4 linked regions of the Elephas maximus indicus genome follow. The protein of the gene in region 4 purifies or fractionates together with the protein of the main gene of each other region. This does not show direct contact. Links are inferred from orthologs where the notes say so. Each region holds a gene or a part of one and is shown on either strand. Other genes may lie near its edges.

Evidence for each region.
Region 1: the proteins of TULP3 (region 4) and TTC21B purify together in Homo sapiens (affinity purification with mass spectrometry; 5 studies listed by BioGRID and IntAct, counting the BioPlex papers as one, with this or other methods). This does not show direct contact. The link is inferred for Elephas maximus indicus from reciprocal best matches to the Homo sapiens genes TULP3 and TTC21B.
Region 2: the proteins of TULP3 (region 4) and IFT140 purify together in Homo sapiens (affinity purification with mass spectrometry; 5 studies listed by BioGRID and IntAct, counting the BioPlex papers as one, with this or other methods). This does not show direct contact. The link is inferred for Elephas maximus indicus from reciprocal best matches to the Homo sapiens genes TULP3 and IFT140.
Region 3: the proteins of TULP3 (region 4) and WDR19 purify together in Homo sapiens (affinity purification with mass spectrometry; 5 studies listed by BioGRID and IntAct, counting the BioPlex papers as one, with this or other methods). This does not show direct contact. The link is inferred for Elephas maximus indicus from reciprocal best matches to the Homo sapiens genes TULP3 and WDR19.

The regions. Positions count from the first base shown.
Region 1 is NC_064824.1:64,019,456-64,027,108, forward strand, and holds the start of TTC21B (tetratricopeptide repeat protein 21B), read right to left. Parts: upstream 3,017-7,653; 5' UTR 2,884-3,016; coding exon 2,863-2,883; intron 1,790-2,862; coding exon 1,660-1,789; intron 1,567-1,659; coding exon 1,456-1,566; intron 1-1,455. UniProt on the Homo sapiens protein: Component of the IFT complex A (IFT-A), a complex required for retrograde ciliary transport and entry into cilia of G protein-coupled receptors (GPCRs). Essential for retrograde trafficking of IFT-1, IFT-B and GPCRs.
Region 2 is NC_064830.1:58,722,129-58,729,405, forward strand, and holds the start of IFT140 (intraflagellar transport protein 140 homolog), read right to left. Parts: upstream 3,020-7,277; 5' UTR 2,739-3,019; intron 1-2,738. Other genes in the region: CRAMP1 (protein cramped-like), read left to right, coding at 5,501-5,509, 6,942-7,078. UniProt on the Homo sapiens protein: Component of the IFT complex A (IFT-A), a complex required for retrograde ciliary transport and entry into cilia of G protein-coupled receptors (GPCRs).
Region 3 is NC_064823.1:121,674,553-121,681,980, reverse strand, and holds the start of WDR19 (WD repeat-containing protein 19), read left to right. Parts: upstream 1-4,424; 5' UTR 4,425-4,591; coding exon 4,592-4,597; intron 4,598-7,428. UniProt on the Homo sapiens protein: As component of the IFT complex A (IFT-A), a complex required for retrograde ciliary transport and entry into cilia of G protein-coupled receptors (GPCRs), it is involved in cilia function and/or assembly.
Region 4 is NC_064822.1:59,077,437-59,084,693, reverse strand, and holds the start of TULP3 (tubby-related protein 3), read right to left. Parts: upstream 3,022-7,257; 5' UTR 2,885-3,021; coding exon 2,829-2,884; intron 1-2,828. Other genes in the region: RHNO1 (RAD9, HUS1, RAD1-interacting nuclear orphan protein 1), read right to left, coding at 5,085-5,639, 6,788-6,955. UniProt on the Homo sapiens protein: Negative regulator of the Shh signaling transduction pathway: recruited to primary cilia via association with the IFT complex A (IFT-A) and is required for recruitment of G protein-coupled receptor GPR161 to cilia, a promoter of PKA-dependent basal repression machinery in Shh signaling.

The sequences.
Region 1 (7,653 bases), on a different chromosome or scaffold from region 4:
GCCCTTAACTAAGCAGTATTTACAGACATGTGGGACCTTCCTGGAGCTCAAACCCATTCAGGATCATCTACAGTGGAAAGCAGAGTCAGTGCTCAGGTGTCTCTAGCCAATATTTCTGCCTCCGTCTTTTTAGGGGCTTAGAAACCACTTTACCCAACAGAACCAATACATAAGTCTTAATAATTAAATGAACATACCAAGAAGGAAATATTTTGTACTAATTTCTTTTTCTAGACTTAGTATCGCTCTCAACTACAAATTCTCTGCTCCAGCTAAACACACGCTCCGGTAAAGCACAGTGAAAGGGGATCTAATCCTAAACAGCCTAATCCTGAACCACTTCCATGTGTCTACCCAGGTTATTTTCTCTTGTCTAGCAAATACTCTTCATATTCAAATCCTATCTGTCCTTCAAAGATCAGATTACGTCCCCATTTTTCACAAAGGCTTCCCAGCTTACTCCTATGGATTAATACTACATACCATTTCCAACTAATTATGGATTCATTTGTTTCACTTCTTATGATTTAATAGTAACACTGAAATTTAATCTTTTAGGTTTTTATATTTTGCTCAACTAGATTATAAGCCTGAGGTAATGGATTACTTCTTATAATTTTTTTGTATCTTTCAACTACACCTGCCACTGCACTAATTGTCATATTTGTTTACTTGCTAAACATACTGTCTTATATAATTTTTTATGGGTTTATACATATGTATGTGGGGTGAAGGAGATATGTAATACTCTGCTTAGGAAAAAAATAGTTTCTAAATTTTCCTAAACCATTCTATAACAATTGGTTATAATCTTAGTCATTTGAAACAGGTTCTATATTTACAATCCTACTAGCTATTAATAAATATATATGGGAGAATATAACTCTACTCTTTTATCTATAATTTGGATATTCTGCCTCAGCCAATAAACTAAGACAGTCATGCAACCTTAATTAATTGCTTGCTTATGTATAACATTCCTTCCATAACCTGGTCATATTTCTCAGCCAATTACTGGACAAAAATCTGGAGAGTACCTTCCAAGAGCTAATTCACATGGGGGATGTAAAGACTTTCAAGAAGCTTAAAATATAGTAAAAGAGATAACCTGTACACAGAAATGTTTCCACATAGTAAGTGATAAAGTTGGCTCCTACAGAGTGATTTCTGTGTACATCTATTTTTCAGCTGGCCTTTTTTGCATAACAATTGCTAATACATATTCATCTTTAGGTTAACTCACATAATCCCTATGCACTAATAAAACCTGTGCCACAGGACATAAGGAATATGAAAGTAGTTTAAAGACAGGTATTCCCTGTGTTTGATGAACCTACCAAGTTCCTAGACAACATATAATACAGCACGATCAGACTGAATGTTAAAATAATTGAAAAAAAATCAAAATGAACTGAGTAGGGCAAGCTGCCTAAGTGTTGTACTTAAATACTATACCTGGATTAGGACTCATTTTATGGGCATATATCAGTGCAATTAGAGAGCAAAGTGATACATCTTGTTTATTTTTAATAGCCTCAAATTCTCGAAGAGCTTCTTGAATTTTACCTGAAAATCAAAAAGATTATGATGTGAAAAACAGTTCATAGTGCAAAGCCAGAAATTAAAATTTTTGGAGCATGCTTAATAATTACCACACACCTTCCATTAATGTACCATAGGCATGATAAAACCTGAAGACTGGGTCACTGCCGTATCTCTTAATTCCTTCACTGGCAACCATTAGCACATGATGGAAATATCTCTCTTGACAATAGTAATTAATCAAAGCCTAAAAGGAAATAAGGACTAAAAATTAAAAAAAAAAAAAAGATTCTGGTGGCCTGATACACTTTTAGAAGCAGATTAATCTAAAATCCTGAATAAAGCTCATGTGATTCTTTTAAGTTTCCTTAAATCGAGCCACTTTTCACCTCTTTGCCCACCTTTTCTTAACAATTTTAGAAAACAGGAAAATAAACAAAAAAAAGGGTTTAAAAAAAAAGGACAAGAAGTTCCCGTTAGTAGACTCTAGGTTTCTTTAAAAAAAAAAAAAGTCTTTTTAATACTCACTCTGTAACAACAAACTTGTTAACATTACTGTCAAATATTATTTACCTGAGGCTTTTCACAGGCATGAGGCTACAAACTCTGTGAAGGCAGAAGCTGTGAGGTTCTGCTCATCACTGGATCTCCAGGTCGTAGTGGACAGAGTCCTCGGTAAATATTTGCTGAATGGGTGAAATCAGTGAACAAACGAGACCATCATCCTAAAGAAACCGCTTATGTTTTCCAGTCTCGTGTCTGTTTCCATATGCTCAGTTATTAAGTGGGCCCTTATTAAGAATTTGCTGAATGGATGTATCACTGATAATATGAAAAAAAACTATCACACTAGAATAAAGACTCCTCCCTTTTCAAGCCTCATGTCTTTGTTTTCACATATGCTTTCCGTGTTCCTTTCCCTATGGAATGGGAAGAGAACGTTAGTTTGCTTTAAGTCCTTAGAAATCGCAGCCCGAGGTGCAGTGAGTGGCATGTGGTAATCGGGCTTTCCGCAAACACGACACAGAAGTCAAAGTAAACACAACCAACTGGAGGACCAGCTCACCAACGGCCTTTAAAAGGCAGCGCCCCGAGTGAGCTGCCGGGACCTCTAGTCCGCAGAAGGGCCCTGGAGAGCAGACAAGGTAACGTGGGCTGCAGGCCCACGCCAGCGGGTGGCACCCGGACTCAGGGCACCGAAATCCCGCCAGACTAACGACCGCCTCGCGGACCTCACCGCGCTCTCTCCACGCCCCCATCGCAGCGCCACTCCCCCAAACAGACCAAGTCCAGGCCGCCAGTGGCCGCCCGCCGCCTCACCTTCAGCCCCAGCGAGTCCATGGCTCCCCGACACTGGCGCGCAGGGCCCGTGGGCGTGGGTCCCCCGCTGCCCAGAGGAAGAGCCGGAGCCGCAGGACGCCGCGCCGAGGCCCAAATCCGCCTCGCCCTCCCGGACGCGGCGCCAGGGGCGGGGAGGGACGCGCTGCCATTGGCCGCCAGCGGGAGGGGGCGGGCCCTTGCTGCAGGGATTGCGGGAGGCGCCGAGGAGGGGCGACCTGGGAAGGGGGATCCGGAGGGCGGGCTGCGGGGGTGACCTGGGGAGGGCAGGGGCTGAGGGAGGGGTGCTAAGGGATGGGGGGAGTGGGAGAGGACATCCGACGAGGAATAGCCCTGGGGGAGAGTGGGTGGGCGGGCACAAGGCTAAGGAATAAAGGAAGTGAAGGAGGAAGTGGGAAAAGGGCAGATCTGTTCCCCATCACGGACTAGAAAGAAAGACACCATTTTCTGTTCATTTGTGTTGAGGCAGATTCCCGCAATGCGGTTATCTGAAGGCTTGACCAGCGCATAGAAAATGCTTTAACTTTCACGTGTAATCGTTGCGTTGTGGCCACAAGGTGGCGCAGAAATATCACAAGTTCTTAACAGAAATGGGTTGAGCTTCTTGGGCCCATCTTTGCCGGCATTTTTGCAATCCTGTTTGTTGTTAAAATGCATATTAAATTAGTTCATTTTTACCAGTCGTGATAATGAAGGGGACAAATGAGGTAAACAGAGTCTTAGTGGGTCTTTGTGTATTTTTGTACTATTGATTTTAAGCTGAGAATAAAACTAATCCCTATGCAAACGTTCATGTTTGAACCCATCAGGCAGCTGTCAGTTGCACAAAGATATGTTCAGTTGTTCAGATAATTAAACTGGGATGATGGACTAGAGATTTCCTATTTCTGCTTAAGGAGATTTCAAAAACAGTGGAGATTTGAGATTTAAGTGGTCTTTGTAGAATCCTTTACATGAATTCCAAATTCTGATCCTAGTGTTAATTTATCACACTTTAGTTGACAAGATCCTAAGTTATTTTGACCAGATTTTAAGTTTCTTCAGGACTCAATAAACATTAACTTTTTTTATGCTGGTAGGTTATGTGCAAGGTCCCTGGGTGGCGCAAACAGTTTATGCTGGACTGCTAACCTAAAAGTTGGTGGTTTGAACCTACCCAATGGTGCCATGGAGGAAAGGTCTGGTGGTCTGCTGCTGTAAAGATCAACCAAAAGCCAAACCAAGCTCATTGCAGTGGAGTGAATTCGGGCTAATCGCGACCCTGTAGGACAGGGCAGAACTGCCCCGTAGGGTTTCCAAGGATCGCCTGGTGTGGATTCCAACTGTGACGTTTTGGTTAGCAGCCGAACTCTTAACCACTACATCAGAGCCAAGAAAAAAACATGGAGCAGTTCTACTCTGCAACACATGGATTGTCATGAGTCAGAATCAACTAAACAGCAACATGTTTTTACAGGCTTAGGTTATATACCCTGTGGAGCACAGTTCTACTCTGGTATACATGGGGTTGCCATGAGTCGGAATCAATGACAGTCTTAAGGAGCAGTGTGGCTATAACCCAGGCTCCAAGGCAAAGCAATATTTTTTCACCAACTTCCTTTTAAAGTGCATTCAACCCAAACCAAAACCTACTGCCATCGAGTCCATTCTGACTCATAGCGACCCTATAGGACAGAGTAGAACTGCCACATAGAGTTTCCAAGGAGCACCTGGTAGATTCGAACTGCCAACCTTTTGGTTAGCAGCCGTAGCTCTTAACCACTATGCCACCAGGGTTTCAATGCAACCCAAAGAGGCACATATTATTTTCATGAAAACTGTTACTCTGTTTCCAACATTCATACTGTTGTTGTTAGGTGCTGTCCAGTGGCTTTTCTACTGATGGCAAGTGACCACACGTGACAGTAGAACTGCCCCATAGGATTTTTGTAGCTGTAATCTTTACGGAAGTCTGTCTTCTGCAAGTGGGTTCCTACTGCCAACCTTTTGGTTAGCAGTTGAGCGCTTAACCAATGTATCACCAGGGCTCCTTCCAACATTCACAGTCAAGCTAAAGTTTGTGGTGGTAGACAACCAGTAATAGCTGCTGGTCTGATTTTCAAAACGTGGATTAATCTGCACTCACTATGCAGCAGAAAATTACAACAGTTCAAGGTGCTCATCAAAGTGTATAATCTTGAATTGCACGATTTTGGTTCCAGTGAAAAGTTCATCTGGAAAAAAAGATCTGTAGATGTTGGCTTAAGGAGCTCACTTCTCTGAGTTCTTTAAACTCTAAACTCAATTACAATGACTTCCTTTGGACTGCCATATGATACTTTGTTTTTCTTTAAAAAATAGCCCAGCCATTCAGATATCTGATGGCCCAGAATTTATGACATCAGTCAGTTTACTTTCTGCACACCTGAACTATCAGATGTAATAATGTTTTTACTCAAATAACGTGACGAGACGCACCAAGAGAGTTATTTTTCTTGGTTTTCTTGGCTAGATCTTGACATTTCATTTATGCAAAAGTAGGAAGGGGACACAGAAAAATGCACTTATAAAGAGTCTAGTATTTTGAAATAGAAAGAATGAATTATTTAAATGTTTGTTGTTGTTATTAGGTGCCATCGAGTTGGTTCCAACTCACAGTGACCCTACATACAACAGAACAAAATAGTGCCCAGTCCTGCACCATCCTCCCAATCATTGTTATGCTTGAGCCCATTGTTGCAGCCACTGTGTCAATGCATCTTGTTGAGGGTCTTCCTCTTTTTTGCTGACCATCTACCAAGTGTGACATCCTTCTCCAGGGACTGGTCCCTCCTGATAACATGTCCAAAGTATGTGAGATGAAGTCTTGCCGTCCTTACTTCTAAGGACCATTCTGGCTGTAGTTCTTCCAAGACAGATTTGTTCATTCTTCTGGCAGTCCATGGTGTATTCAATATTCTATGCCAACACCAAATTCAAAGGCTTCAATTCTTCTTCTGTCTTCCTTATTCGTTTTCCAGCTTTCACATGCACATGAAGCAAATGAAAACACCATGGTTTGGGTCAGGCACACCTTAGTCTTCAAGGTGACATCTTTGTTTTTCAACACTTTAAAGGAGTCTTTTGCAGCAGGTTTGGCCATTGCAATGTGTTATTTGATTTCTCGACTGCTGCTTCCATGGGCGTTGATTGTGGATCCAAGTAAAACGAAATACTTGACAACTTCAGTCTTTTATCCATGTATCATGATGTTGCTTATTGGTCCAATTGTGAGGATTGTTTTTTCTTTTCCTTGAGGCGTAATCTATACTAAAGGCTGTAGTCTTTGATCTTCATCAGGAAGTATTTCAAGTCCTCTTCACTTTCAGCAAACAAGGTTGTGTGATCTGCATATTGCAGGTTGTTAACGAGTCTTCCTCCAATCCTGATGCTGCGTTCTTCTTCGTATAGTCCAGCTTCTCAGATTATTTGCTCAGCAAACAGATTGAATAAGTATGGTGAAAGGATACAACCCTGACACATCTTTCTTGACTTTAAACCGTGCAGTATTCCCTTTTTCTGTTCAAACGACTGCCTCTTGATCTGCCTCATGAGAGCAATTAAGTGTTCTGGGATTCCCAGTCTTCACAATGTTATCCATAATGTGTTATGTTAAAAAAAAAAAAAAATTTTTTTTTTTTTTAACACATGATCAAATGCTTTGGCATAGTTAATAAAACACAGGTAAACATCTTTCTGGTATTCTCTGCTTTCAGCCAAGATTCTTCTGACTTCAGCAATGATATCCCTTGTTCCATGTCATCTTCTGAATCTGGCTTGAATTTTTGGGAGTTCCCTGCCGATGTAATGCTGCAATCGCTTTTGAACGATCTTCAGCAAAATTTTACTTGGGTGTGATATTAATGATATTGTTCGATAATTTTTGCATTCTGTTGGATCCCCTTTCTTTGGAATGAATACAAATATGGATTCATTGATTGGCTAGGTAGCTGTCTTCCAAATTTCTTGGCTTAGATGAGTGAGCACCTCAGGTCTCGCATCCGTTTGTTGAAACATCTCAGTTGGTATTCTGTCAATTTCTGGAGCCTTGTTTTTCGCCAATGCTTCAGTGTAGCTGAGACTTCTCCCTTCAGTACTGTCTTAGTCATCTAGTGCTGCTGTAACAGAAATACCACAAGTGGATGGCTTTAACAAAGAGAAATTTATTCTCTCACATTCTAGTAGGCTACAAGTCCAAATTTAGGGCATCAGCTCCAGGGGAAGGCTTTCTCTCTCTGTCGGCTCTGGAGGAAGATCCTTGTCATCAATCTTCCCTTGGTCTGGGAGCATCTCAGCGCAGGAACCTCAGGTACAAAGGCTGCGCTCTGCTCCAGGTGTTGCTTTCTTGGGGTATGAGGCCTCAACTCTCTGCTTGCTTTTGTTTCCTTTTATCTCTCGGGAGATAAAAGGTGGCAGGCCAGACCCTAGGGAAGCTCCCTTTATATTGGATCAGGGATGTGACCTTAGTAAGGGTGTTACAATTCCACCCTAATCCTCTTTAACATAAAATTACAATCACAAAATGGAGGACAATCACCCAATATTGAGAATCATGGCACAGCCAAATTGATACACACATTTTTGGGGGGATATAATTCAATCCATGACAAGTACCATTTGTTCTTGATCATATGCTACCTCCGGAAATGGTTGGACATCTACCGGTTCTTTTTGGTATAGTGTCTCTATATGTGTTTTCATCTTCTTTTGATGCTTCCTATGTCATTTAATATTTTCGCAGTAGAATCCTTCAAT
Region 2 (7,277 bases), on a different chromosome or scaffold from region 4:
CGGGAGCAGATTTTTTTCTCCCTAGGAGTGGCTGTGTGGATTCCAACCACATCTTGTTGTTAGTGGCTGAGCACTTAACCACTGCGCCACCAGAGCTTCTTAATAAAATACTCAATGATAATATATCCATGGAGTTTCAATTCAGAAAATATGTGCACGTCTTTTCCTTGAAACAAACTCTGGGTCTCTACAACATAAAAACGCCGGGCAAATGTCTGGGCTTTGGGGAAAAGAAAAATCTTTTTATCGTTTATTCTAACTGATTTCCTTTCTCACCTCCATGTCTCCAACATATTCACAACCTCTATAAATGCCACCACTAGTAAGATTTTTGGAAAGAATCCCTCAAGTTTATTCAGATAAGGCCTTCTAGGATCCCTGGTTGCGCAATGGTTAAGTGCTCAGATACTAACCAAAACATCAGTGGTTTGAACTCACCCAGCAGCTCCGCTGGAAGAAAAGACATGGTGATCTGCTCCCATAAAGATTACTGCCTAGGTATTCCCATAAGACCAGACTTAATGGTCTGACTGAGACTGGAAGGACCCCCGTGCTCATGGTCCCCAGACCTTCTGTTGCCCCAGGACAGGAACCATTCCCAAAGCCAACTCTTCAGACATGGATTGGACCGGACAATGGGTTGGGGAGGGATGCTGGTGAGGAGTGAGCTTCTTGGATCAGGTGGACACTTGAGGCTATGTTGGCATCTCCTGTGTGGAGGGGAGATGACAGGGTGGAGGGGGTTAGAGGCTGGTGAAATGGACAGGAAAAGAGAGAGTGGAGGGAGGGAGCGGGCTGTCTCATTAGGGCGAGAGTAATTGGGAGTGTGTAGCAAGGTGTATATGGGTTTTTGTGTGAGAGACTGACTTGATTTGTAAACTTTCACTTAAAAAAAACTGACTTGAGTTGCAAACTTTCACTTAAAGCACAAAAAAAAATTATTAAAAAAAAAGGATTACTGCCTAGGAAACCCTATGGGGCAGTTCTATTCTGTCACACGGGGTCGCTATGAGTCAGAATCGACTCAGTAGCACCCAACAACACCACTCCTTGGAGACATTTTGTAACAGAACCGAAAGGAATGAAGCCCTAAAGGGGGACTTTTAGGTAACAGGGAGCTGAGTGTGGGGGTGGGCACTGGGGTAAAGCCTCATGCTTGAGGCCACAGCTTGTGAGCCTATGGTCAGTGCAGGGTCATTTAGCTGCATCTAGGCGACACCACTCGATCCACTGGGTCATAGGTATCATTTTATGTCACAGGATTTTGGACAAATGGCCCACAATGCCATTCTTATTCTCTTTCAGGTGCACTGGGTTAAGTATCAAATCTGAGGGTGCTGCCCCCAACCCCACCCCAGTGCATACCGCAGGGGTGGACATCAATTCAGACAGCAGTCAGAGACCTGGGATTGTGCCTGGAGGTAACAACAGCCAGCATACCAAGTCCTGCGTAGCTCTCTTGCGATGCTCGTGATTGTCCTACAGAGTTACTGATACTGTCCTTTGACAAGGCAGTAGCCCTAGCATGGAGAGGCGAGAAGAGAGCCCATGGCCTATACCAGGGTTCTCCCACTAGGCACCCTGGGCTGCCAGAACAAAAACCAAACCTGTTGCCGCTGCGTCTATTCAGACTCATAGCAACCACATAGGACAGAGAAGAACTGTCCCACAGGGTTTCCAAGGCTGTGAATCTTTAGGGAAGCAGGCTACCACATCCTTCTCCCAAAGAGTGGTTGGGTTCAAAAAGCTGACTTTTCGGGTAGCAGCTGAGTGCTTAACCATTGTACTACTAGGGTTCCTTATAATAAAAAAAAAAAATCCTTTGCCAAGGAGTCAATTCAGACTCATGGTGTTGTTGGTAGGTGCCATCCAGTTGATTCCAACTCATAGGGACCCTATGCACAACAGAACAAAACACTGCCCGGTCTCATAGTGACCCTATAAGGAGAGTAGAACTCACCCTTCGGGTTTCCAAGGCTGTAATCTTTGTGGAAACAGACTGCCACGTCTTTCTCCTCAGGAACCGCTTGAGGGTTGGAACCACCAGCCTTCTGGTTAGCAGCGAAGCGCTTAACCGTTACCCACCAGGGATCCTCCCCTGGGCTGCCACCCACACCTAACCCGGCCCGTGATTGAAAAGGCAGAACAAGTAAATCGAATCCACTTTGTGCCTCGAAACAGCAATGCAAAGAAAAGAGAGGTTGGAGAAAATAAGGCGGCCCGGGTTTAAAGGCCCCTAGCCCAGCCTGGAAATCCTGGTGGCTAGTGTTTAAGCGCTACCGCTGCTAACCAAAAGGTCAGCAGTTTGAATACACCAGGGGCCCCCTGGAAACTCTATGGGGCAGTGCCATTCTGTCCTGTAGGATCGCTATGAGTTGGAATGGACTCGACCGCGAGGAGTTTGTTTTTGGTTAGCCCACCCTTGGTGGCCTCCTCCGCCCCGACTACCCCCTCAGAGACCTTGAGAGAGGGTGTTTTTGGGGAGGGAAATAACTCGAGGTGACGCTAGGCCGGGGTGCCTGGCCGGCCCACCCCGGTTCCGCCTCCCTGCGCCCCAGCCTCCCGAGTCCCCGACTCTGGCCCTCTCCAGTCCTCAACCCGACCCACATATCCGCCACGATCCCCGGAGTCCTCAATCCGACCCCCACATCGGCCCACGAATTCCCGTGACCCTGTCCCCGGAGCCGCGGCCCGTGACCACGACCCCAGCCCCAAACCCGGGGAGGGAACGAGCTCACCTCAGCCCGGGCCACAGCGCCGCCGCCCGTTGCCGGGACAACGGCTGCGCGCGGAAGGCGGAAATAGCCGAAGATGAGTGAGGAGAGCCGAGGGGGCCGGAAAGAGCCGAAGACGATCGGGAATGTTCGTGCAGCTCGGAGGGCTGGGATTGACCCGCCTGCGGACTGCAAGTCGGAGGTTTTGTGGTGCGATGTGTCCTCTAACCAAAAGACTGCAGTTTGAATCCACCAGCTGCTCCTTGTAAACCCTATGGGGCAGTTCTACTCTGTCCTGTTGGGTAGCGATGAGTCAGAATCCACTCGACCGCAACGTGTTTTTTTGGGTTTGAACCCTCTCAACCATAAAGACACGAAGCCAAGGCGCAGAAGCAGATTATCCAATAGGCAACTTAATCACGGTTTTTACTTTGCTTACCAGATCATCTGTAGTGAATAATTTCACATTTTTTCACCACATTAAACGTTCTGCTTCTAGGTAGGACTGGCACCTGTCTCTCTCCCAACCCCACAGCACCCTCCTACAGAATCAAAGCCTCTTTTCAAGTTCACAATCCCTGACAGAGGCAGACGACCCAGTAAACAAGGTAAGCATGGGTTTACTTGTGCTTACCTACTAATCTGAGGTGAACAATTTCACATAGGTCTCACCACATCAAAGAAATTGCTCACTACATATGATTTGGTAAGCAAAGTCAGCACCGTGCTTGCCTTGCCTATTGGATAATTCACCTCTGCCAAGGCGCCAGGATATGCTGTACTAAGAGAAAAGGGAAGCTGTAACACATCTCCTAGGTGTGGCCGGGCAGTTCTACTCTGTCTTATAGGGTCACTATGGTCATAATCAACTCAATGCACACAACAACAAATATACATACAACATTTGCCTATTTGACACTTTTCACGTGTACAATTTAGTGACATGAATTACACTAATCATACTGTTCAGCCATCACCAATATCTGTTGCCGAATTTTCCATCACCAGAAACAGAAACTCACTGCTTCCTAGAACGCCACTGTTCTTTAAGATGTTTTAATTTCCAGTTAATCTTAATGCAGGATGGTTCCTGATCCCAGGCCATTTGTTTGGCTCTGCTTTCTTTGTCTTGTCTTAAAATGGAGAGTGTGGTTCAAGAGTATTTCTGAGAAAAGCCAGCTGGTTCCATAGAGTTTCTTGAGGTTTTCAGGTCATTTCTTACATATATAAATGTTTTGGGTCCCATATGGATTCATTTGGCAAGAAATGGTGGCCAAAGACACGGGTTTATCCCATCAGAGACCATCTTTATTCGTCGCCACGGGCTGTGTGCCCACAGACGTTAGCAACATGTGGCCTGGTCTGAACGGTCAGATGTGGCTAAACTGACTCTGAAAAACAAACCAATACATCTTTAACTGTTTGAAAGCGGTCAGCATCATTAAAAAGAGAATACAGTCACAATAGCAAAAAGATCCACATTGTGAAACATGAGCAAAAGTAAAAGATGAAAATGTAGCTACTGCTAAGTTGGACACACAAGGAAATTCTATTTTTTAAAACTTCGTTTTGCTTGGAAGGAGTGCAGCCAGAATGCTTATTAGAAGCAAGGATGGTGAGACTTGTCGAAACTTCTCTCACAAACTTTGGACATGTTATCGGGAGGGATCAGTTCCTGAAGAAGGACATCAAGCTTGGTAGAGGGTCAGCGGAAAAGAGGAAGACCCTCAAAAAGATGGATTGACACAGTGGCTGCAACGATGGGCTCCAGCATAACAACGATTGTGAGGATGGCCCAGGACCGGGTAGTGTTTCGTTCTGTTGTACACAGGGTTGCTATGAGTTGGAACCGACTGGAGGGCACCTAACAACACCACATTAGCATTTTAAAAACACTCCTTTGTCGCCATTACGGAGAAAAATGATTTAAGCGCCTAACATAGCCAGCTACGCCAAAGAAGCTCCAAAGGAGTACCTCCATCCAATAAAGGGTGTGTTTATCTCGCTTAAATGTAAATTTACATCTTTTGGTCAAAAGCCACGTTCGCGCCGGATTCAAGACTCGGAGTTCAGGCTGTGTTTTCTCTCACGCATCCGTCAACACTGCCTCGACCAATCACAGCCCGTTAACTGACCCCATTGGCTGTCGCTTCACCAGTCCGGAGAGACGCCTCAGCCCCGCACCGCCGCGGGGACGTCGGCACAATGTTACGCGCGTCCCAAGTCCGCCCTGCCGCCCCGCCCAATTCCCGTGAGTGCAAGCGCGCGCGTCTGCTGCTGGCCAATGGGAGGGCCGCTCGGGGGTCGCGCTAGCTGGAATGCCCAGGCGTGCTCGCCTCCGCGCGAGTCGCTCCGCCCCGCGCGCAGGCGCTAGCGCCAGCCCCGCCCCGGCCCCGCCCCGCCCCGCCCCCCACTCCGGCCCCGCCCCGGCCCCCGCCCCGGCCCCCGCCCCGGCCCCCGCGTCTACGAGCCGTGCGGTGGTCCCTGTCGGCTGCCGTAGCCGGAACTGCTGTGAGAGCGGCGGGCCGAGCCCCCGGGACGCTGAGGGGCAGGCGCGCCTGCGCTCGCTGCCCCGTCTGTCGTTCGCCGGTCCGCTGAGGAGACGAGTCCAGCGAACGACGCGCGGCCACCGCGTCTGGGGAGGGAGGAGCAGCGTTGCGTCGCGGCCTTGCTTCAGCCGGAGCTCAGGGCCGGGCTGCCCGGCCGGGCCGATTCTGCGGGCGCCTCCTGGGCCGCGGGCAGGAGGTCCCCAGGAAATCGGGAAGCCAGGCTGCCGCGAGGCGTTGATGAAAAAGGTGACCGGGGTCTCGGGAGGGCCGGCCTCCCTAGGGACTGTCATGGCGGGCCCGGGTCCCAGTCGGCAGGTGCTGCGGGCTGAGCGGCCGGTGACCTCGTAGAGCCGTCTGGCCGGGTCCTATGGAGCCCCTAAGCCGTCCAACCGTGTGCACGCAGAAGGCTTTGGGCAGTTTGGGGGAACCCTCCTCCGCTCACAGTGTTGCATCGGCAGCGTTCTTTGTGCGTGGACAGAAATCTACCCAATAGCAAATTTTACTTTTCCCATCCCGAAACGTGACACATGGTGTCAAGCTTTGATGGGGGTCGAGATGGAGTTCACCTCTGTGAAGTCAGGAAGGTTTTCAGTAAAAGGATTCAGTTCCTGTGTTTTTCTCTGCCTTTAGGGGAAAAATCTGAACTATGCCAATATTCTTTTAATTCTGGATAGGGTTTTAGTGTTTTCCACCGTTCTATCAGACAAATGCACAAGTTATTCTGTTGAGTCTGAGGGATGTTTTGCTCGGGTCCTAGGCTGGTTGTGGGTAGCTCTGGCATCATAGGTCCCTCGGAAGTAGGGTTCCCCAATCAATAACCCATGGAAAGGCCTTTTGGGATATTTTCAGGTTTCTTAAGTAGAAAGGGATAAATTGAAAGTACTAAGGAGAAGTCCTACTCAATGAAGTCTTTTAAGTTTGGGTGTTTGTCTTGTGTTGATCTGTTCTTTGACAGAGCTATTATTTTTTTACAAGCGATCTGTAAAGTCAGTTCGAATAGATAAAAACTGCTGCTGATCATTTGGTGGCAGAATATGGCAGACTAGTGGTACTCTTACGATCTTACTTATTTACCCATTTCCAGACTTTTGTATAGGAAGTCGTTGTCCTCTTACTGTATTTCATTGTTGGTGTTAGTACCTAGCTCTTGTTTTCCTTTAATGGACTGTTGCCCTCCTCAAACAGTTGTGTTGTGCATGGTATCAAACAGTTGGGGCATAGGATCTAAATCTGTTAAAAAAATCCAATATATAGCTTTCATACACAGTATTGGATATTTCTGGCCACAAAATATTGACCTGTCCCTGATTCTCTTAGTTCAACTTTGATCAGACCTGCCTTCTGGGTTGCAAACATTTTTACCATCATTGCATCTTATTGTTGTTGGCATTTTACACGCTGCGGGTAACATAGTTAATGCAGGAATTTTATTTATGGTTACCAAGAGTTTTGACAACAATTTTCTTCTGCTTATTCCTGCCCCTGGACCTGGAAATCACCTGGGGCCGTCACTTTGACGGCTGCCTCCAATCTGTTAGATGCAACAGGCTCCTTTGTTGCAAAAGCATTTTTTTAAATCCGTAAACCCCCAGCAGCAGCAAAAACCCCACACCCTGGGATGCAAGATTCCCAGAAACCCCAAGCTCATGGTCCCTCTGCATGTCTGTTTTCAAATCAGAAAGCGGACGGGCAGCCGCAGGCCACCAAGGAGTCCCCTCCGCGGGCCGGCCACCCCGCGCCCCTCCGCCTCCGGGGTCCATCAAGGCCCCTAGCCCCTGCTCCGAGGCCACCTTCAGGAGCCCGCGTGCGGGGCAGGTGCGCGGGCCCCGGGAGCCCCACGCCGGTTTCCAGGGGCGGGGAGGGGGTGGTGACGAGGCCGGAGGAGCTGAGCGGCGGTCCGGCCCGGGCGGTGCGGGGGAGCGAGCCGTGCGCGCAGGCGGCCCCGCGGCGCCGAGGCCATGAGCTGCGTGCCCGCCGGGTACGTGGCTGCGGGACCGGGCCCGGCGCCGGGGCG
Region 3 (7,428 bases), on a different chromosome or scaffold from region 4:
TGTGGAAAGAGACCATGGAAAAGCTCAATATCATTAGTCAGAACAAGGCCAGGGGCTGACTGTGGAACAGGCTATCAATTGCTCACATGCAAGTTCAAGTTGAAACTGTCAATTCTGACTCAGAGCAACGTTATAGGACAGAGTAGAACTGTCCCATAGGGTTTCTAAGGAGCAGCTGGTGGATTTGAACTGCCTACCTTTTGGTTGGCAGCCAAGCTCTTAACCACTGTGCCACCTGGGCTCCTTACCTTTTTAGTACTGTATGTTTCTGTATTACTGTAAGTCTTCTTGAACTTAACTGAAACACAATTAACTCATTCATAGTGGTAGATGAAACTACCACTGACATTTTCTGCCCCTGGAGGTTTATTGGCAGGCATTTGAGCCACTTTAGTACATTCTGGTGTTGTGGCAGGTACTGGTGCAACTGCCTAAAAAGAAGGAAGTTGGTTTGCGCTGCATTTGAGTGTTGAGAGCCATTCGCATGAGGTGATGATTCTGGAGGAATGACTGTGCAAAACTTTTGTGTCTTTTGGCTTCTGTACAGCCAGATAAGTCTTGCAAGGATGTTTACTATTTTCTTTGTGTTTTGGGGAAGATACTACTCCAGCATTCAGAAATAGTCAAGCAAGTGAATTATTTTGGAGGTGAAAACAGTTTGTGATGCACTTCCTGGGTCGTCGTACCGATATGTACTGCATGTGTGATCTGCTTCACGGAACACATGACAAAGATGGCCTGCTTGTATTAGTCACCTCCCTGATATCTTTTATAAAGTGCTCATTTCCCTGATGACATTTTTTTATACTCTTCCTGGGCCATAGTACTGATACGTACTGCGTTTGTGATATACTTCATGGATCATGGTACTGATGTGGCCTGTTTGCAACTGGCAGCCCATTTTTTAAAATAATAAAAAATTACCAGCAAACAATGACTCAGCAACCATTTCATCAGTGAAAAAACAGGCATCACACACACACACAAAATTACCCTTTAAAGGATTAAACTTTGGTAACAATTTGATTCTTTTGGGTCTTTTTTAAAAGCTTTGCTAGGCAAGACCAGAGGCAAGATTAGTCTACAACTAATTTTTCCCTAATATTGAATAAAGCCTTTCTGCATACTCTACTCAACGCCCCATGAATTGTGAGGTTTTATACTCTGGCTGGTCTCTGGGTGGTGCAAATTGTTAATGTGCTCAGCTGCTAAGCAAAAGTTTGGAGGTTCGAGTCCACCCAGAGACACCTCGGAAGAAAGGCCTGGTGATCTACTTCTGAAAAATCAGTCATTGAAAATCCCGTGGAGCACAGTTCTACTACATGGGGTAGCCATGAGTCAGAGCTGACTTGACAACAACTGATATACTCTAGCTGGTGGGAACAGGAACTGTTCTCAGTCTTGTGTGAACTCTGAGAATTGCTGCCTTGACTAGTTTCCTTACAAGCATGTCCTGATCAGTACTCAGGGAAGACTTTAAGGGGCACCCTCTGCAGATCTCTGGTGCTTTCTCTTTGTGAAACTCTCTCCTCTCCAGTACTCTGCCATGCAAACTCCAGCCACCTTGGCCTCAGTGGACTTCCAACTTTATTTCCTCTACTTGTGACGACTTGTTGGGGCCCACCATTGTCCCCTTGGAGTATATCATTGTCCTTATGTTTCCCTCCTCCAATCTCATCTCCAACAAATATTTTTCACATTGCTGCCAGAATAATCTTTTTGAAGATCACAGCACTCTTCTTGAAAACCCAGCAGTGGTTTTCCAAAGCCTAAAGAATGAAACTCATGCCCCTAAGTGTGGTATGGAATAACAGTTATGGTCTTGATCTTTTTTTAGGTTACAGATCCACTTGAGAATTTGGTGGAAACGCTCCCAGTAAAACACGTTGTTGTTGCAACACGATGGACATAATTATTGTCACTGAACTGTACATGCGAAGACTGTTGAAATGGCAAGTGCTTTGTTACACATATATTTACAATAAACACAACAGCAAAAAAAATGTTGTAGTTGTTGTTAGCTGCCATTGAGTTGGCTCTGACTTATGGTCACCTTATGTATAACGGAATGAAACATTGCACAGTCCTGCACCATCTTCCTGATCATGATCGTTGGTATGTTTGACTCTACTATTGCAGTTACTACATCACTCAATCACATTGAGAGTTTTCCTTATTTTTGCCGACCCTCTGTAGGGTTGCTATGAGTCAGAATCGACTCGGAGGTGGTGGGTTTGGTTTGGTTTTTGGTTTTCTACTTTACCAAACTGGTTTACTTTACCAAACACACACATATGCAAATACACAATGCTTTACATTCAATTGTGGGCCAGTGGCCCTGGATTCCTCAAATGCGGGACTGGGTGAATGGGCTGAATATGAATACAGGCAGAGTTTGGCACTCAATTAGCTAAAAAGCCAAGAAAGTCTATGAATTTTTAAACTAGAGTTTTGATAAGTAACTGTCTGCTATGTTGTCGCTGCTGTTAGGTGCTGTAGAGTTGGTTCCAACTCATAGTGACCCTTTGCACAACAGAATGAAACACTGCCTGGTACTGTCTGCTATAGGTAAGCACAATGACTCAATTTAAATTTTTGGAGGACCTATTATTTTGACTCTACATTTTTGCTTAAGGCTAAAATAAATAAATAATCTAAGCTTTTGCAGGCTGCTAATTTCTTCAAGAATTACCATTCAGGTCTCACCATCAGGAAGCCTAAAACCAAAAGACCAAAAGCCAAATCCATTGCTGTTGAGTGGATTCTGACTCATAGTGACCCTATAGGACAGAGTAGAACTGCTCCACAGGGTTTCCAAGGAGCAGCTGGTAGATTCGAACTGACAACTTTTTGATTAGCAGCCAAGCTCTTAACCATTGCACTGCCAGGGCTCCTTTCAGGAAGCTTAGTTGCCTAATATCTGTAAATAAACTGACTTCATTTAACTTGTGATATTCATCCTTACCCTATCACTCTTATATTAACTTCTTTTTCCTAGCCAAATCCAATAGTTTTTCAAAGTGTACATCTACTTCGAATCTCTTGAATAGCTTCTCCCTGGCTTGCAGGACTTCATACTCTCCTAATTTTAATTTTTCCGGCATAATTTTCTTTCTCTACATATGGATTTCTCCCTGAACCTTAATGGTCCCATTCCTTCTGCTTTAAATATTACCATGTAAGTGGACAATTTCTGAATTTTACTCCTCTAACATTCCTCCCCTTCACCCAATCACGTAGTAAAGACATCTCCATTTTAATGTGCAGATTTCACACCTAAATTTAGACATCTAAAGATACATAAAATATACCCTGCAGCAGAGAAATGTCCTCAGCTTTAGTATTCCCTGAATGGCCGCAGAATCATTAAAGTAAAAATTTAAAAATTAACCTAACTGAAAACCCCAGTGCATGGGAACAGCATCCTACATAAGAATCTGGGAATATCCATCATTGTTGTTGTTGTTAGGTGCCGTTAGGTCGGTTCTGACTCATAGTGACTCATACAATAGGACAAAACACTGCTGGGTCCTCTACCATCCTCACAATTGTTGCCATGTTTGAGCCCATTGTTGCAGACACTGTGTCAATCCATTTTGTGAACGGTCTTCCTCTTTTTCACTAACTCTCTACTTTATGAAGCACGATGTCCTTCTCCAAGGACTGATCCCTCCTAATAACATGTCCCAAGTAGGTGAGACAAAGTCTTGTCAGCCTCACTTCTAAGGGGCATTCTGGCTGTACTTCTTCCAAGACAGATTTGTTCGTTCTTCTGCCAGTCCATGGTATTCCTTGCCAACACCATACTTCAAACACATCAGTTCTCTGGTCTTCCTTATTCACTGTAGAACTTTCACACGCATATGAGGCCACTGAAAACATGATGGATTGGGTCAGGTGCACCTTAGTCCTCAAGGTGACATGTTTGCTTTTTAACAGCTCGAAGAAGTCTTTTGCAGAAGATTTGCCCAGTGCAATATGTCATTTAATGTCTTGACTGCTGCTTCCATGAGCGCTGACTGTGGATCCAAGTAAAATGAAATCCTTGACAACTTCAATCCTTGTCCGTTATCATGACGTCGCATTCATCATTAGTTATTTTAAGTTAGTCATTTAATTTTCTCTAAGTAAATCATGGTCCTTCCTGATTTTGAAAAAAGACGGATTGTTTCACTATTTCGGCAAAAGATGTACTTTCATACTCTAAATAGTGAAGCACAAATACTACAGCTGGTATAATAGTATTGGTGGGCCAAAATCTACCGGGGCGCCTTTTCGGAGCTCAGAGCCCGCCTCCGGTGGGGGCGAGTCTCTGAGGCTCATCCAATCAGAGCTCAGTCAGGAAGTAGACGTCCTAGCGCCCCGCTGACATCACGTGATTCTAGCCCACACCTCCCACCCGCCTTTGCGAAGAGTCAAGCGCTCATCCCTGCGCGGTATCCTGCTTCGCGAGGCGCCTCCCATCAGACAGCGCTCGTTGATTGGTCGCTGGTCGTGCGGTCTCCTGGGTGACACGAACGCGGTAGCCTTCTTGGAGGAGACGGAGTGCGCTTGCGCACACGCTGCATCGCGCGGCTGCTAGAGCTTTGAGATGAAGGTAAATAACTTAAAAACCCCGGGAGGGCGGGGGCAGGAATAACGCGACCACTGGCCCTTCTCTAAGCCGGCCAAGCATCAATTTGAGGAGAGGGCTGTGTGTCTTCCTCTGTCTTCCCAACTGCGTGACTAGAGATGGGGGAGGGCGGGGACGAAGTTAAAGGAACAAGAGGAAAAGAAAGAAAACACAGGGGCGGAGAGGGAGGCCTCATTTCTGGGACCGCGAATGGGTGGTGTGGGAAGAGGGAACTCCGCCACGGCCGGAAATGGACAGACTGGATCTCAAGAGACCTCGAACTTCGCAAGGCGGAAAGATCTGGTCGTGAATGCGTTTGGAGGGTCTCGGTGAAGTAGACTCGATCGGGTGTCACTCCCACGTGTCACTAGCTGCCTCATTTCTTGCAGCTAAACCTTGCAAGCCGCACAATTGCTCAACGCCTCAGTTACACCACCTAAAAAAAGTGAGAAACCTCTAAAGAATAATTTCAAATTGTATTGTCTGTGATAGTCCAATTTACAGATCCTCTGGTGGCGAGTGTACATTATTCACGGAGACATCTGCACCTTCACACGCAGTTCTCACGTTCATGTGTGTCGTCCTCTGCACACACGGTTTCTAGGCTTGGGCTTCTAGTGAACCCCACTCCCAGGTCACTGGCTATAGCTCATTTACCCTTCCACTTTACCTCAGCAACACCACCCTGCCTTGATCTGGCCGAGGAATGGAAAGCTCACATTTAAAAAAATTGTTCTATACATCCTAATGCTTCTGCGTGGCTGTTAGTATGGAAATTGAGATTGACGGACTGATAAACATAACTCACATTTTTAAAATCACTTTGCAAGTTATGAGGTACTTTAAGTGAGATATTATTATTGCAGTTTTATAATTGGGGATTCTGTAGCAGGAAGAGTTAAAACTTAAATCTTAGTTTTTCTGGTTGTAATGCTAGCACTTTCTCCTCTGCACTGTATATGGAGCATCTATATAGCTCCGCTGAAGAAAAATTATATGTAAGTTCGCAGCCAGAGGCAGGTCTGCTGTGAAAGTAGAGAAGGTCAAGTTTCAGGGCAATGTGGTCATATGTTTTTGTAAAATTTGCAAAAGTGAGATGTTTTCGTATTCTTCTTCAAGAGTGTCTTAAAAAAAAAAAAAAAACAAACCTGGGCGTACCTGTGATTGTAACACAGGTAAGAAACCCTGGTGGTGCAGTGGTTAAGTGCTGGGCTGCTAACTGAAAGGTTGCAGTTGGAACCCATCGGCCACTCTAGGGGAGAAAGATGTGACAGTCTGCTTCCATAAAGATTTGCAGCCTTGGAAAATATATGGGGCAGTTTTACTGTGTCCTGTAGGGTCATTATGAGTAATCCACTCTACGGCAGTGGGTTTAGTTTTGGATAGCTCGTGTATATTTTCAACAGAGATGGATTTCATCTTTGGCATATAAAATGTTCATTGATCAGTGTCTGAGTATTGGAAGAGTTTTGTGTTGCAACTCAAACTGTTAAGTCTCCTGTAGTCCTATCTAAATTTCATATTCCTATGATATAGGCTATTCATAAGGTTTTCACTGGCTAAAGCTTTTCAGAAGCAGACTGCAGGGTCCTTCTTCCTAGCCTGTCTTAGTCTGGAAGCTCAGCTGAAACCTGTCCTCCATGGGTGACTGACCCTGTTGGTATCTGAATACTGGTGGCATAGCTTCCAGCATCACAGCAACACACAAGCCCCCACAGTATGACAAACTGACAGATACGTGGGGACAATGAATAAGGAAGATCAAAGAAGAGTTGACGCCTTCGAATTGTGGTGTTGGCGAAGAATATTGAATATACCATGGACTGCCAAAAGAACGAACAAACCTGTCTTGGAAGAAGTGCGGCCAGAATGCTCCTTAGAGGCAAGGATGGCGAGACTGCATCTTACATACTTTGGACATGTTGTCAGGAGGGATCTGTCCCTGGAGAAGGACATCATGCTTGGCAGAGTACAGGGTCAGCGGAAAAGAGGAAGACCCTCAACAAGGTGGATTGACACAGTGGCTGCAACAATGAGCTCAAGGCTAACAATGATTGTAAGGATGGTGCAGGACTGGGCAGTGTTTCATTCTGTTGCGCATAAGGTTGCTATGAGTCAGAACCAACTCGACGGCCCCTAACAACAACAACATGATATAGGCATCATACCTTTAATAATATTAAATCTAAATTTTCTCACTGAGCTCTGTGTTCCTGTTTAACATAAATATAATGAAAGCCAATGTAATTAAAAATTTTAGTAGCCATGTTAAAAAACTTCAGACAGGTAAAATTAATTTTAATATTTAATTTAACCCAATATACCAAAAATATTATCATTTCAACATGTCATGAATATAAATATTATCAGTGAGGTAGTTTACATTATTTTTGTCATGTCTTTGAAATCCGATATGTATTTTATACATACAGTGTATCAAAATTTGGACTACCCACATTTCAATCAGGTGCTCAATAGCTACATGTGGCTTGTGGCTACCATATTGGATACCACAGTTCTAGATGGTCTAGTGAGGAGAAAAGAATGGTTTTTCAACTGATACCCTGTTGGCCCAATAGCCAGATTAAACACTTAATCTTTAACCAATGGGTAAAAGGAGAAACAATTTTCAAGGAAGTATCCAGTTCCAGTGGAGCTGATTCCAACTCATGGTGACCCCATGTGTTGCAGAGTAGAACTGTCCTCCATAGGCTTTTTATGACTATGACCTTTTAAGCAGATCACCAGGCCTTTCTTCCCAGGCACCTCTGGGTAGGTTCAAAGCACCAACCTCTCAGTTAATATCCAAGTGCTTA
Region 4 (7,257 bases):
GATTAGAACTCAGGAGCCTGAGGAAAGCTTCCAGTGTTTTCCCCCTCATTATAAAGCTACATGGTAAAACAGAAAGTTCCATCTTATAAATAATAAAAACATTACTATAATCCCTTTCAGAAGTGTGGTCTTTCAGAGGTCCTGGTGACTCATACGATACAATGCTAATCATCAATATTTTCACAGAAGTTCTAAGACAAAAGGACAGACACGACATCGTCATTATCAAGGCTCATATCGAATAACAAGTGAGTTAATGAAGACAGCACATGCATCACTATGCCTTCTCTCAGACTTAAATAAATTCAAACTTTAACTCGGCCAGGAAAATTTTGCAGTTTTCGTTCTTACTACCAGTAAAGATGTCTGACGAGGCAGAATACATTCAGTAGTACAGACAGCTTATTTCCAGGGAACTGACTCAGAGGATATAAAGCAAAAGCAGTTTGAAAGAAGCCTTGACAATTCCACTGAAGGGCGGCCCTCGAGCAGGAGGACGAAGGGAATTACCAAAGCCCCTTCTAATCCTAAGCCCTCAAATACCGAAAAGCAGAGTAGTGTCAACTCCCCTGAGTAATTCAAGCATTCTTTTCCTCTCAATAAGAAAAAAACATTAATTTTTTCTTTCAAAGGGCACAAAGGCAGGGGAAAGAGTTTCCATAGAAAAGAAGCCAGAAACTGAAACTAGAAAGGCTCAAAAAATATGAATCGGCCTGTTTGTGCAGCTTAGAACAGAAGAACCTTGGAAGAAAGGAAATCTGTTACAGGGATTTTTCTAGCCCTGTAGGTAGCCTTCATATTCGGAGAAATACATGCATGTTAGATGCTACTTGGCCTTTACGGTAATTTTTTATATTTGCCAAATATACTGTAGTCATGTATGGGTAAGTCTGCTAACAATGAGATGATCTGATGAAAAATTCAGAAGAAGAGAACTCAAGACAGGACAACTACTACTGCTGATCATTCTAAAGAGAAATCGTGGCCTACGGATAAACCACAGACCATGACTTTCTGAGACAATACTGGCTCGGAAGGTCACAAGGGAAATCTCTCTCACCACACCTTCAATTCTCTGTCTGGAGCAAAAGGGCAGATAGAGCTCAAGTTCCAGCACTAACCAACCCCTCTCATAGCCAGGGAATTTATAATATGAAACACCAAGCCTTAACAAAGGTCCTGAGATGGCTGGTCAAATTTCACCTTCAATTTTCACTAAATATTTCAGATACCAAAAAAAAATTTTTTGAAGTTTACTTGTTGGTAACTTTCTCACTTAATTGAAAATAAATGTGCTTCATGGTAAAAAAAAAAAAAAAAAAGTCACAAAATTCAGAGGAAAAAAAAATCACAGATGTTATCCCCACACTAAAAGGTATTAATACCAAAAACTCTTATTTTATCAAAAACATTAAACAAAAAACCTAAAGCCAAAAAAAACAAAAGACATTCCACTCCCTCAGCAACGAATGAGTTAAGCAGTGATAGAAGCTGCACTAACAGGAGAAACATTTGGTGACTCACACATTTCCCTTTGATGTCAATTATAAAAATTAAAGAGTTGGTTTCTTTGGGAAGAAAAACGGGTGGGGGGAAGACTTTAAAATTACCCCTTCAGGCTTCAGGTCCAATAAGTTAAAAACCATTTTGCCTCCTGGTCTCAATTTCAAAGTCAATTCCATTAAAAAAAAAAAAAAAATGAGTCATATTAAACATCTGGTATTCGCATAATTTACTGCCTTAAATTCATTCAATTAAGATTTATCAAGTGTCAAAACCGAACAAGTACCATCTGAATTCAACCCTTCGGCACTCGCATATTTATACTTGTAAATGTAGATTATTTTTTCTCACCACTTGAAGAGAAAAAAAAAGTGCAGTGAACAAATTTCAGAGTGTAGATAAGCAGAACTTGATGAAAAAGGAAAATGGGTGTTGACTCACCCAACATCTCCTGCGTGACAATTTCTAAAAATGGTTTAGGATTGTTTAAAAATTTACTAGTCTAAATCTACTAGTCAAATTTTCATTTGCCATGGTAGTGGAATAAAAACTGGGGAATGTATTTAGCTTGTATGATTTCAATTCTCAGACAATGCCAAAGTTTTCAGTCAATGATCTCACCCGGCTCCTCATTAACTTTTCATTAACTTGGCTAACAGGGATTTATTTGACAGGCTGAGATTTCGGACCGTTTTACTTTCCAGGCTCTCCCTCTGGTGGAGGCAGAAAGAGGCATGGAAAGAAAGCACCGACGGCTATAGTGCCTTCGCTAATAAGACAGACAAACTCGAATAAGAGATAAACTACTAGAAAGCAGACAGAAGAATAGTTCTGCATTTTCCTCTCAGTTCCAGAATTCGGCACCGCCTACCAAAAGCGACTGGCATCAGCGCAAATTACAAAATACCACCCACAACCTTCTGCTTCGACATCCTCGGAAAAGACTGCATCCAACCTCGGCTATGCCACCATTAGGCAGTCCGTGAGGAGCAGAGCTGATGCACCTGAAGTAAGGTAAAACTGAGGCCCGAGAGGGCAAAGACAGCTAGCTGGTAACGAAAAGTCCAAGGTGCCCAAGCAGGGTGCTGAACCAAAGTCTCGCCCACAGTGAAGGCTGCAGAGCCGCTGCTCTCTACCCTCAGCTTTAAACGTGGGGGGGCGGGTAGCTCCAGCTGGCAGTGGGGTGAGAGGGCTCGCCTCCGGAGGCCAAATCGGGCCCTCCCTCCCTGACCCGAGCCCACCTCCCTCTCCCTCGGAGCTCCCAGACAGGACCACCACGTTCTCACTTCGTCCCCCCATCCCTCTCAAGTAAGCAGACCAGTCACCATTTCCCGTCTGACCTATCCCCGCCGGGCCCGAGACGGTAGCGCGACGCCTCCATCCCCCGCAGCTCAGTAAGTGCAACCACGTCCAGACCCCTAGACGCCGCTGCTAGGGTGGCAAGTCTGGCCCGCAGCCGGGCCCCGCCCCCTGGCAACCATACCCCGCACTATCACCACTGCCCATTGGACTCTGAGTCCACGCTCCCATCTCATTGGCTATTTCCGCCGCCCGGCGATGCGGGAGGGTATCTAAGGGACGGGAAGAACCCGGGAGTTAAAGGCGCCTGCGCTGAAGTAGGGATGACGCACGGGGGCTTGGTCCCTCGGAGCGCGGCACCGGGAAGGGGCTGAGGGCGGAAGGATGTGTTCGTGTCAGCTGCATAGGTTCCCAGCGGTCGGGATGCTAGTCCATCTGAGGAGCCGCCCATCCCCCACTAACCGCCACTCACTTAGCTACTTCCTAGCATCCCCGCCATTTGTACCCTGAGACCACCCATAGCGCTCCCAGAGGTCTGTAACGTAGACTTACAGACCTCGGCTGGCTCCTCGCAGTCCGGCCCCTTTCTAATTCCAGAGGCCTTCCGGGAAACCACACACGTACTCCCTCCAGCAGTCATCCCCATTTAAATGCATCCTTCATATAGTTTCCCCGGTCTTGCACAAAACCTCCTTCAGCCTCCCCCACTCCAGCTCAAGCTTTTAGATCATTCCTAGACCTGCTCTACAGGACTCAGAGAACCTTTTCCATCTACTCCCTCTACAGCCTATGAATCAGCTTCAAACATCCATACTCCATTAAAAAAAAAAAAAAAGTCAAACCTGTCGCCGTTGAGTCGATTCCGACTCATAGAAACCCTACAGGACAGAGTAGAACTGCCCCGTAGTTTCCAAGGAGCACCTGGTAGATTCTAACTGCCGACCTTTCGGTTAGCAGCTGTAGCACTTAACCACTACTCCCAGAGTTTCCATCTTCAAACATCCATACTCCATAAAATGGGATCTAAATCTGTACCCGTTTCCAATAAATCTTGTCCCCAACCATCAGTTCCTTTCTCACCACCAACTTATATATTCTACAGACCCTACAGAATATCCTGACAAAAGTTACTATACATTGACTTTAGTTTATTGCATTCCAAGGCCAAAGTTGTTTCCACGTTAGTTTTCAAAACAGAAGCTGATTTTTTAAGAGGCACAGAACTTGACATAAGCTAGAACTGCAGAGCACTGAAGTCACTGGGTCAGCCTCCATTCACTGTCTCATCCTCTAGACAGTTCATTCTCTGTGCTTCAAATTCCCATCTAAAGTAAGCGAAATAATCCCTGCTTGGTCAACCTCAGGCTGGACCGGACACATTTATTAAACAGGTTCTTAATAAATAAGATTGAATGACAGTCCTGCATTATTTACAACAGGAAGTAATATTCCCCCAAAACCTTCCACATTTATTTAGATACATTTTAAACTGTTACTACAGGAAATCATTTCCCCATCTTATTTAATATTTACAGATTTACCTGGGAACAAAAAGCCAAAACATAAGCAAACCTAGTTTATCTCTACCCCTTTTCTATCCTGACCACACGGTATTCACTAAAACAGGGCTTGCTGTCCTGTCCTCATCTTGCCCTGCCAACAGATGAGCCAAGGCTGTGGAAGCAGCAACTCAACCATAAAGAGGTCACAATAAATTTGCTTTGATTTTTTTCTATCTATTAGGTCATAGAGGAAGCTGTACTGAGCCTGACAGAGTTGGTACTCAGAAATGTAGAATGTAATTTGTTTGAAAAAGATGACTAAAAGATTAATGAATGAGTAGCAGTTAAAGGAAACCAGAAAGACCTTTTATGGACAGGGCAGTATTGCTACACTATTGACAGTAAAATGCAGCGTTCTCTAAAAAAACTTCCTATTAACTATTTACATACATTTTGTTAGTACAAGAAATTTAATTTTCAAGAGTTAATATAAAAAAAAAAAAAGATCAACTGTTTATGACACCCCCCAAAAAAACTCAGTGCTGTGGAGTCGATTCCGACTCATAGTGACCGTATAGGACACCAGATATTTTAAAAAGCAAATCAGGGAACTGAATTCCCTTATGACTCCAGGGCTCTAGTTATAATATATTTTTCCTGTTTGTTTTATTTCCATCTTATTCTATTGATATACTCTCTTGTGAGCCAGAAAAGTGACTTTAGCAACTCCATGAAAACCAGCAGTCAATTTCCTGAATTTAATAAAGAGAGAGGCTGATGTCAGTTTTTCACAAGGAACTGGCTTCTGCTCAACCTCCCTCTCTCCCTGAGGCAAGCCAACAGGTTCTGCCGTCTCCTCCAGGTGACCTTTATCCCATACTTCTCCTGAGGAGTGTCTTTAACCAGAACAGGCCCAGGATCTGGGCTCTTAGGAGTACTCGTACGAAGGGAGCAGCTTGGAAGGCTGTTTTCCTTCTGATCTGGGAGAATGGGTTTTTCCTTCACGGGAGATGACCCTGGAGTCTGGATATCAGGTGGAAGGAACACGTAAGCTGGGCTTTCAAGTGTATGTACTGACGGTTCCCCACAGCTTTGGGGACTAAGCACTGGAACTAAGGGCCTTCTGGAAATCTTTACTGATTGCTCAGGAGACTCCCTGATTAAGGGGATCCCCAATGTCGCTGAGCTGGAAGAAGACTGTGGACTCTCAAAGGTTAGATGTGGAAACTTGGAAGTGGTAGATTTTCGACTTGAATGTCTCGCCTGGGCTTGGTGACCACGTTTCTGGTAAACTTGGAAACAGCTTTCTGCTGTTGTATCAAACTGAGGCAATACCTAAGGATTAAAAAAAAAAAAAAAAAAGGTAAGGAAAGCCAACTACCAAGTCTAAACAGAGGTAACTATATTCAGGAAACTACATCAAATGACCAGAATCCTAAATGGGGGGCCAACTACAGTAAGGGACACAGAAACAAAAATAGCTATCTAATGAGATAATAATAGAGCTTTTGGCAATTTATATCAATCTCTTTGGCTTTCAGTTTCCTCATGTGTAATCAAGGAGACAATGTCTCTTCCACTTCATCACACCATACAATTACAACGTATTTAACCATCTGTCTTTAATCTTCATGAAGGCAGGGACTAACAGTCTTGTTCACCATTGGTCCCCAGCACCTAGCAGAGTGCTTGGTACAGAGAAGGCCCTCAGTAAGTACTGCAGCTGAACGCAAGATTATGGAAATGAAATCACGTACGTTCAGCAATGAGCACAGGGCCTGGCACATCATAAGTACTCATAAGTGTACATTCCTACTCTCAGCCACAGGATTCTAATGTTTGTTTCTTCCACGATCCTGAAGCAAGTATTATGGTTCTTCCAGCAATCCCAAACAAGTTATATCCAGTAGGCACTTTTAAGCAGAGTTTGTGCTTTATATGGCCCTTTTTCTATACTACTTCCCCGTCATTGAGTCGGAATCAACTCAACGGCAGTGGGTTTTTCCCTGTCATACAGTAGCTATACCCTCTTCCAAGGGCTCTGAAGCTATGAAAATATGACATAATACAATTTCTATAGATTTTTCTTTTCAAGGTCCAATCTGTTAAATGGTAAATAGAGTACCTAGCCAAATATTCCACTTCTCACAAGAAGCTCAGGGAACAATCTCATTTTTCACTTGTCTGGCCATTTATCTGGCTTTCTCACCCAGCTACTGGGTAGTGAAACTTTTATACTGAACTCTTTCAGAGGAATGTGAAAGGAACATCTTCAGTTCCAACCAACTTATGTCTCAATTTGAAACGAGAAAAGGAGATGTACCAGAGAAGATGTCTGACGATGGACAAAGAGAGTGTATGGCCTCTTTGTCCCTATCTACCATAAATCTTATTTTTTGGAAGCCCTTGTTCAAGACCAGAAGAGGCGGCATTGTGAGAAGCCTAAGAGAGTAAAAGTCAAAGTAAGGATACCAGGGGCCTACCCAGGATGTGATGGTGTTGTGGTCAATGGGCTTGCTGGGCACCTGTCTAGTGTGACTGATGGGAAGCTGTGGAGATCCACAGTGGTGTTTGGGGCCCTCCAGTGGTTGTTGGTGGAATAGCAGTGGGGCTTTCCGAGAATGCTGGCTGCGTTTTTTTCTGGGCGGCATCAATAGGTGAATGAAGAGCAGTAAGTAACCACATGATGCTGGCTGCAATCAGGTACTGGGACACACTCCAATTCCAGCCAATGCCTGCAGAGAAGAAACAAAAGCCGGGAGGAAAATAACTCAGATGATGCCCCAGCTCTGCCAGCTAATTTTACTATAAACTACTACCCGCACCTGAAGATTGTGGGGAGCATAGCTTCCTACACCTACCCCACCAAGCAAAAACACAGTAGTTCCTATTCAACAACATTCATCCCGTGAACATTTACTAAGCATGTGTTAAACACCATGCTGGGTAGTGA